Cricetulus griseus: one gene and its partner. The protein of the gene in region 2 binds, or shares a complex with, the protein of the main gene of each other region. Links are inferred from orthologs where the notes say so. Each region holds a gene or a part of one and is shown on either strand. Other genes may lie near its edges.

The links.
Region 1: the proteins of Ralgapa2 (region 2) and Nkiras1 are in contact, whole or in part, in a crystal structure (PDB 9QU1), measured with the Homo sapiens proteins. The link is inferred for Cricetulus griseus from reciprocal best matches to the Homo sapiens genes RALGAPA2 and NKIRAS1. Residues at the interface, in NP_065076.2 of Homo sapiens: Pro20, Lys21, Tyr51, Ser52, Gln53, Phe56, Tyr59, Glu60, Ile63, Arg99, Phe102, Arg103, Trp104, His105, Tyr106, Gln107, Ser108, Lys185, Ile186, Tyr187, Pro188, Glu189; in NP_001364280.1 of Homo sapiens: Lys6, Glu22, Leu24, Leu25, Tyr26, Glu34, Met39, Glu40, Asp41, Val42, Tyr43, Met44, Ala45, Ser46, Val47, Glu48, Lys54, Gln56, His58, Tyr60, His74, Tyr75, Ser77, Phe78, Lys108, Thr162.

What each region holds. Positions count from the first base shown.
Region 1 is NW_023276807.1:175,376,956-175,381,499, reverse strand, and holds the start of Nkiras1 (NF-kappa-B inhibitor-interacting Ras-like protein 1), read right to left. Parts: upstream 2,808-4,544; 5' UTR 2,721-2,807; exon of another isoform or gene 2,591-2,720; intron 1-2,590. Other genes in the region: Rpl15 (60S ribosomal protein L15), read left to right, coding at 3,452-3,623, 3,737-3,873, 4,470-4,544. UniProt on the Homo sapiens protein: Atypical Ras-like protein that acts as a potent regulator of NF-kappa-B activity by preventing the degradation of NF-kappa-B inhibitor beta (NFKBIB) by most signals, explaining why NFKBIB is more resistant to degradation.
Region 2 is NC_048599.1:32,658,633-32,662,445, forward strand, and holds part of Ralgapa2 (ral GTPase-activating protein subunit alpha-2), read left to right. Parts: intron 1-928; coding exon 929-997; intron 998-1,262; coding exon 1,263-1,400; intron 1,401-2,455; coding exon 2,456-2,639; intron 2,640-3,813.

The DNA of each region.
Region 1 (4,544 bases), on a different chromosome or scaffold from region 2:
AGTTTTAGAGGAGAGGGAATGACTGGAAAGGATGCAGGTGGCCTTGGGCTATTTATTTATTTATTTAGTTTTAATTTTCATTGGTGTTTGCCTGCGTGTATGTTTGTGTGAAGGTGTCAGATGTCCTGGAACTGGAGTTACAGACAGTTGTGAGCTAACATGTGGGTGGGTGCTAGGAATTGAATCTACCTCCTTTGGAAGCATAGTCAGTGCTCTTAAACTTTGAGCCATCTCTCCAGCCCCAACACCATGGCTTTAACCTGATATTTCTGATCTACAAACTATAAAATGATAAATGTTTTATTTAAGCCATTAAATGTATTGCAGTGGAGGCCAGGTGGGGCAAGCACAGCCTCCTCACTTGAGGGAAAAACAGATGGGGTCTGTGCAGGTTGGAGGCTAGCCTAGTGCATACATTAAGTTTTCAGGACAGTTAAAGCTACATAGCAAAAATAAAAGAGAAAGAAAAATGTATCTCGAAAACATAAATTTAAAACTGTAATTGCTGTTGGGGAAACCTAACCATCTCACTATGCTCTCTATTCCACTCTCTTTCCTTTTAGCCTCAAATCATCCTAAGTTAGAATTTTAAAATCCAGCCTACATTCTCAGAACCATCTAGTGGCTTCCTAGCTCCTTGGGTTTGATTCCAAAACACCACTTGCTGTTTTCTCTGTCAGTCCTGGTATCTTCTGTCTTGTCTCTTAACCTTGTGTCTCAGTCATCCATACCCCAACTTAAAACTTTTTGAGGTTTGGTTTCTGATTCCTAAATGCTATGCCACTTAACTACGCTCACAGACTTGTAATTTATTCTTCAATGTTATCCTTCAATGGGGCTGGAGAGGCTCAGTAGCTAGAGCACTTGCTACTCCAGTAGAGCACACTGCTTCAGGTCCCAGCACCTACATGGACGCTTCCCACCACTGGGCATTCCAGTTCCAGGGCACATATACATACATGCAAGCAAACACAGAAACTAAAAATAAATCTTAAAAAAAAATTAAGACTGTCCCAAAAGAGAAATCTTTTTTAATTAATTAATTAATTAATTAATTAATTTCACATCCAAACCAGAGTTTCCCCTCCCTCCTCTTCCTCTCATTCCCTCCCCTGCCCCCCCATCTTAACCCCCCAAATCCACACCTCTGTTTCTGTTCAGAAAGGGGCAAGCCTCCCTTGGGTATCAACAGAGGTTGGCATAACAAGTTTCATTAATATTAAGCACCTTCCTTGTATTAAGTAAAGTTGGGCAAGGCAAGGAATAGGTTCCCAAGAACCAGTCAACGTGTTAGGGACAGCCTCTGCTCCCACTGTTAGAAGTCCCACAAGTAGACCAAGCTACACAACTGTCACAGATATATAGAGGGCCTAGGTCAGTTCCATGCAAGCTCCTTGGTTGTTGTTTCTGAGTCTGTGATTTCCTATCAACCCAGGTTAGTTGTTTCTGTGGGTTTTCATGTAATGTCCTTGACCCCTCTGGCTCCTACAATCTTTCCTCCTTCTCTTCACCAGGATTCCCTGAGCTCCATCTAATGTTTGGCTGTGGGTCTCTGCATCTGTTTCTATCAGTTACTGGATGAAGGCTCTCTGATGATGGGGTAATCGCTAATCTGATCACAGGACACACATTGAGGGAGTGAGGAGTAATGTGACAGTCGCCCCAGCACCCCAGATTTCTTTTAGAGATCTCCCTGGGGGTGGGTGGGAATGGGAATGAGAAATAGCATCCTGAGCACTCCATCCTAACATGCAAGCTACACCAGATGTGCTAAAAAGAGAAAAAAATGAGGCAGTTAATTGGTTGGAAGATTACTTCCACCCAGGTCCAGGCTCCACTGGCTACATCATGATGCCCCCCCACCCCACCCCAAGGGTTCAGCTGAAGAGAGGCCTCCCTCTTGGGACACTTGGGCAACTGTCACCCTATTGCCCTATACCCCTTCACTTCCTCAATGTGTGTCCTTGGCACCAAATTAAATACATAGGTTAGTATTGACGTTTGCTCCCAAGGCTAGCACTTGTGCGTTGTTTGTGGCTGCATACCCAACAGCTGAGACTGTGCCCCGCACAAATTAAGACAGGTGAGGATTTTTAGAATGCTAAAGCCATTGTTTATTTTAAAAGATGAACAGAGCCACAGATTGATGTAAAAGATAAACATGAATCCAGAACCTTGGCCACAAACATGGGTAGACTTTATGAAAACCGCAAGACTATGAAGAAAGAAAATTCTGGAGCTGCAAAACCTCCAAAACCATTATTTCTTAATAAAGAACGCAATGCAGAATGTCAGCCTTCTGGGCATTTCTTCCTGAAACAGCCGCACCTAAGAGGACTTGGCAAATGAACAATTTGCTGTCCTAAAAACATGATAAAATAAAGCCCCCGTGTTCTGACGTTAGCACCTCCGGATTCCCATCCACCACAGGGAAAGCAGAAGGAGGACGGACGCCAGGGTCCACCCTCTCGGCTTGGGTCGGCGGGCCTCAAGGACACGCGCGCAGCCACTAGCGCCTACGCCCACCCGGTAGCTGTGCGGCGGTCACGCTGCTCCGGGATCTCGGAGCGGAGCCGGCGGAGACACCAACCTGACACTGCGGAGCAGTGAGACAGAGGCACGCGGGTCACTGCGGTCCGCGGGCGTCGCTCTGGAGCCGGTCCCCGACCTGCCTCCTCAGGACCCGCACCCGTGACCCACACGGGCTCAACGCCTCTCACCTCTGGCAACCTTCCCGGTTCAGAGGCAATGCTGAGAGCCCGCGGAAGACATCCGGAAGCGACGAATTGTCCCAGCCTGATTCCGCCCACCAGATTGGATGTCGGAACTACATACCCCATGAGGCACTGTGCGGCCACCCCGCCCCACCGGAAGGAGAGTCGCCGAGGTGGGGGAGGAGCCACAAAAGGGATTGTGGGAGAAAGGCTTCTTCCTTTCCTCTGGTGGCAGCCATCAGGTAGGCAGGTCGATCCATATTTGCGTTTCTATCCGTCACGAATCGCGCTAGTCTTCAGCCATCCGGCCCTGGCGGCTCTGCCGCCGCGGAGCTGCTTCTCCCCACGAGCGTTCAGTCAGGATGCGGGGTGGAGAGGGCGCGAAGACGCAGCCACCCGGGAGGCTTGAGGGGAGACGCGATGGCGGCAGGATCCGAGCTGGGCCTGAAGGAGGCGCGGGACTCAGGCATGGAGGCCTGGCCAGGCCGGCCGCGTGGGGCGAAGCTTTCCGGGTTTTAGTCTCGCCGGCGGTGGCCTTCACAACCCTGCGGCCAGCCTTGCTGCCTCCCCGAGCCCGGGCTATCGGTCCAGCCGAATCGGCAGCTGCGCCCTGCCGCCTGTGCGGGACCGTTCTCATTCTCTGTGGAAGGTGGGGCGCCGGGACGGACGGCCCAGTTCTCATCACTGCCTGACAGCGATCGCTTTTCCAATGTGCTTCCTCTCAAAGGTGAGCCAAGATGGGTGCATACAAGTACATCCAGGAGCTATGGAGGAAGAAGCAGTCCGACGTGATGCGCTTTTTGCTGAGGGTCCGTTGCTGGCAATACCGCCAGCTTTCTGCGCTGCACAGGGCTCCACGCCCCACCCGGCCTGATAAAGCGCGAAGGCTGGGGTACAAGGCCAAACAAGGTGCGTGATGTCCGATACCACTGCCCCAGAAAAGTCCCGCATGTCCCCACCCCACCCCCGGTAACGGGAAGCATCGGGAAAGTCTCACCTGTTGGTTTTGTGTGTGTGTACAGGTTATGTCATATACAGGATTCGTGTCCGCCGTGGTGGCCGCAAACGCCCAGTTCCTAAGGGTGCAACTTACGGCAAGCCTGTCCATCATGGTGTTAACCAGCTAAAGTTTGCCAGAAGCCTTCAGTCTGTTGCTGAGGTAAATAGATTGATGTACCTACCAGTTGAATTGACAACCCATTACGGGTGGCGGCTAGAAATGGGACAACGCAGTAGACCTTCACTGGGTGGGTATAAGGTGGGGCTGGAGGTGTTTTGTTTACTTAGCCTTGGCAAAGAGCATCTATTATCAAAACTCTGTTACTGTTTGGTGCTTAAGTATACGCTGAAAGGGCTTTTTTGTCTTAATGAACCAGGACCTGCAGAACTAAAAGCTTTTGAAGGCAGTAAATGCAGTTTTTCTTTTGGGTTGCTAAGCTGTGTTCTGCTGTAGGAGACCCCTTTCCAAAAGCCGGAAGCTTTTGACTCTTGTATAAGACCATGTGTTTGATCCCAATTACTAACGAGATCTTGGGCAGTACTCAACTCCATGCCTAGTGTAACATGGACAGGGAGAATGAGAGGGAATGATGTGTTTCTGTCTGCAGATCTCGTTTGAATCTTTAGGGCTTACAGTGTGTGGGGACCTGGTCTGCTTAAGTCCATGGTGACCCAGAGTTTGAAAGAAGGATTTTTGTCTGATTTGCTGCTGTAAGCAGTACCCAAGATTGACTGGGCTTTCTCCCCTGTTTTTAGGAGAGAGCTGGACGTCATTGTGGGGCTTTGAGAGTCCTGAATTCTTACTGGGTTGGTGAAGATTCCACATACAAG
Region 2 (3,813 bases):
TTCCCAGACTAAAGCCCTGGGCCACGCTTGCTGCTGTGGCATGGTTACTCAGCAGTAATGAGATCAGTGCAGTATTAACCTCTGAGAGGGATGTGGCCAGGAGAGGAGGCAGGAGGAACAGGAAGTACTCAACCACAGCTTCTCAGAGGTCTGCTACAGCCAAGGGGTCTTTGCTCAGAACGGAGCAGGAACTAACTCATAGGTACCTACACACCTGTGCTTGGCAGTTTTTATAACCAAACTTCTTCAAGCAAGCCCTGTTCCTTACCCATCTAGTGGAGCCTCTGAGAAAATTTGATTTGTCCCCATGACAGATGGCAAGGAGAGAGAAGAAGTGATACAGATTCATTTCTTCCCAGCCCTAGACAGACTTCATTGGTTGAGATCACTTTGTTCTCTCAGAATCACATCAAGAGTCACAAGTGGTTTTTGACCTGAAGTGACCTAGAGTGAAATAGACCTTTTACTCTGCTTCATAATGTAAAGTTGGGTTTAGTGTCACCCTGTAATTATCCAGACAGGATACCTGTGAGAATGAATGGCATGCTGTGATGTGGGAGCAGGAGGTGGAAACCAATGCTAATTTGTAATAGCAAATTATTTTCATAATTATTTTTGAAAACTTTTTTTTCACTTTACTAATAATAATATTAGTAGATATTTAGTAGACTAATTAGTAGACTAATAGTAGATATTATGTGACTATAGAAAGAACTATTCCTTGCCATGAGGTCTCAGTCTCCCACTAAAGACATAGAAACCATTACATGATCGTTATTTTCAAATCTCCTACCACTGGCCCTCAGTGTTCTATCATCATCCAGTGAGTAGGTCCCAAGCTGTTTAGTTGCAAGGTCAATTTGGGATCCTTAGCATATGGCTTCCAAACTATCATGGTCTACTTGACTGGGTTTTATCTTTTATGCAGATCCTTGTGGCCACAATTGCATTTCTTTTACCAAGTGCAGAGTACTCCTCAGTGGAAACAGATAAAAAGGTAAGTGACATGTTCGGTAACTTTCCCCACAGTAATTTTTAAGTGTAAGACAGAATGGTAACTAACATTACTGATGATGGTATCATTTATTACATCCTTATATGGTGGCTTTAACATTCTTTCCTATGAAAGCCATTTTTGTTTACATACTAACCCTGCATTTGCATGTCTATTGAATATTGAGCAGGGACAATTCTGTTTATTTTTACATGCAGTTGGTCCAAAGGGCCGTAGAGTGAAATTCTGGTTATGTTTCTTCTTCTAGTTTATTGTGTCCTTGCTCCTCTGCCTCTTGGACTGGTGCATGGCACTGCCTGTGAATGCCCTTCTCCACCCTGTGTCCACAGCAGTCCTGGAGGAGCTGCACCCACCCCGGGCTCCCTTGCTGGATTATATCTACAGGGTGAGTCTCCTCTAAGCCTTGGGCATTGACAGCGGACCTACAGGTTAAAAATTACCAAAATGTTGTATATGTTGTACATTTATGTATTTGTGCCTTCTGAAAAGGACCTGTGGAAGGTTAAGTATTTGGAAAGAAATGAATAATTAATGAACAAGCAGAACACATACAGTTGTAGAAAGCAAGTAGTTGCCAAGGTGAAGATATATACATTTCCACATGACTGTCATCTTTAAACAACTGCTGTTTGATCAGAATGACCCCAGTCTTCATGGCACATGATCTCTGTCTACTTAATTTCAAAATGGACTGTTTATATGTAGGAGGGTCTGCAGCATCCAAAGATCTGTTTGTAGGAAAGTAAGAAAAAAAATAATGCTTCTGGTACTTTATTTGCCTTAAAGAAACCTCAAGAGGAAGGTGTGGTGGTACATGCTTATAATCCCAGCACTTGGAAGCAACGGGCAAAAGGATTGCCTTGAGTTCAAGGCTGCCTAGGTTATATAATGAAATCCTTTCTCAAGACCAGAACCAAATCAAAACTAAAAGAACATGAAAGGAAAAAAATCCTTAGGATAGGAGTTAAGAAATCTCACTTTGTGAGAAGTGAGAGACTTTAAAATCTGTTTTCAGTTTACTTTTATTTAATTATGTTTTCAAAATCATATTAAATTATTTCATATAATTCTTCGGTTCATGCGTTGTACTTATTTAGACTCAGGTTGTGGTCACCCTGCCCTCAACCATGAGGGCTTTCCCACAGCTGTCTTTCATCTCCTGGGCTGGTTCCTTCCACCTGTGTTACTTTTGGAGAGTGACGGACTGAGGTGTGTGCAATCACACAAGAACATAAACCTTTTCACTTGGGCTCCGTTTGGCCTGAGAATGTAGGTATTGTTACTGACTTGCTTATAGCAAAAAGATATTTAAGATTGGAAACAACCCCATACTTTGACATGTTCCTAAGTAGGAGTCCTGTCTCAAAAGTACTGTGGAGACTGGACAGTTTGTCAGGGGTCAGGAGGTGTTGGCATACCATTCCTGTCTGTTCTCCTCAGGTTCTGCACTGCTGTGTCTGTGGCTCAAGCACATACACACAGCAAAGTCACTACACTCTAACCTTGGCTGACTTGTCATCCACGGATTATGACCCCTTCCTGCCTCTGGCAAATGTGAGAAACTCAGAGCCGGTCCAGTACCATTCATCAGCAGACCTGGGGAATCTACTGACTGTGGAAGAGGGTGCGTATGTCTATAAATATACAATCTTATGGGCAGGAAGAGGTAAGATTGTAGTCTTGTCCATGCTTGTTTTGAATCTACTTGTTGAAGTCCCAGTTTATAGGGTCTCTGAGGGCAAATTGCCTTCCCTGTTACTTCCTCTTTATTCCTGTTATTTTTTCCTCCTCTCTTCTTTTTCCCATCTTAAATTATTCACATGGTTTTGTATTACAGAAAATCTCTTGCCTCATACCCATAGAATGCAAAAAAAAAAGGGGGGGCTCCTTTTTCAATCTTCAAGAAGTTTTACATTTGGTGGGAGAGATAGGACAATACTGGGCTGGTAGCATCCTCAGAACTTCCCATAGGGAATAATTAAGCTAGACACAGCAAGGAGGGTAGGCTTTAAAGGAGCTCATGGAGTATTCACCTCATGAAGAAAGCTGGGAGCTTACTTGCCCCCACTTGGGATGTGTTCCTGTGGCAGACAAGTCTGTGGAGATTGTTAGGACTTGGCTACTGTATTTCCTCCTCTGCCACTGATATAAATGAAAAGCACCCAATCTAAGCCTTGGAATATGAGTCTGAAAAGTGAACAGGTCACTATAAGTGTGGCAGATTTTCATGAAACTAAGCACATATAAATGTATAAAACTGGTGCATACCAATTTATTAGTGGGCTATGTTAATGTCCATTTTCTGGTTGTGGTATTGAACTGTATATCTAAGATGTTACCCCTGAGATGAAGGGTAGTTAAAAATCTCTTTTATTCCCTATTACTGTATATGAATCTTCAACTGACCCAATTAACAGTTTGCAAATGTGGCTACAGAGTAGTACATCATCATCCAGGGATATTGCATGAAGCTTTTCAGTTTGCAAGCTAGGGCCAAGAATGGAATTCATGACATCCTTAAGAGAAAAGCAATGAGGGGCTATCACCAAGTAAAGTCAGGGTTGTGGAAAAGGACCAACATAGAGTCATTAGAGGTCATTCCTAGACACCAAGGTCAGAGTAGGTGGTGCAGAAGCAGTTAGCAGTACTGGGTGCTTCAAGAAGCCCAGGGAGGCTGAGAGCAGAAAAGGGACTGTGTTTGCAAGGAAGTGTTTAGACATGGACTTTACCAGAATACTTAGTCCAGATTAGCTAGATAGCATGAGTTGGTGACCACTCAAACCTGTGACAGACCCCTC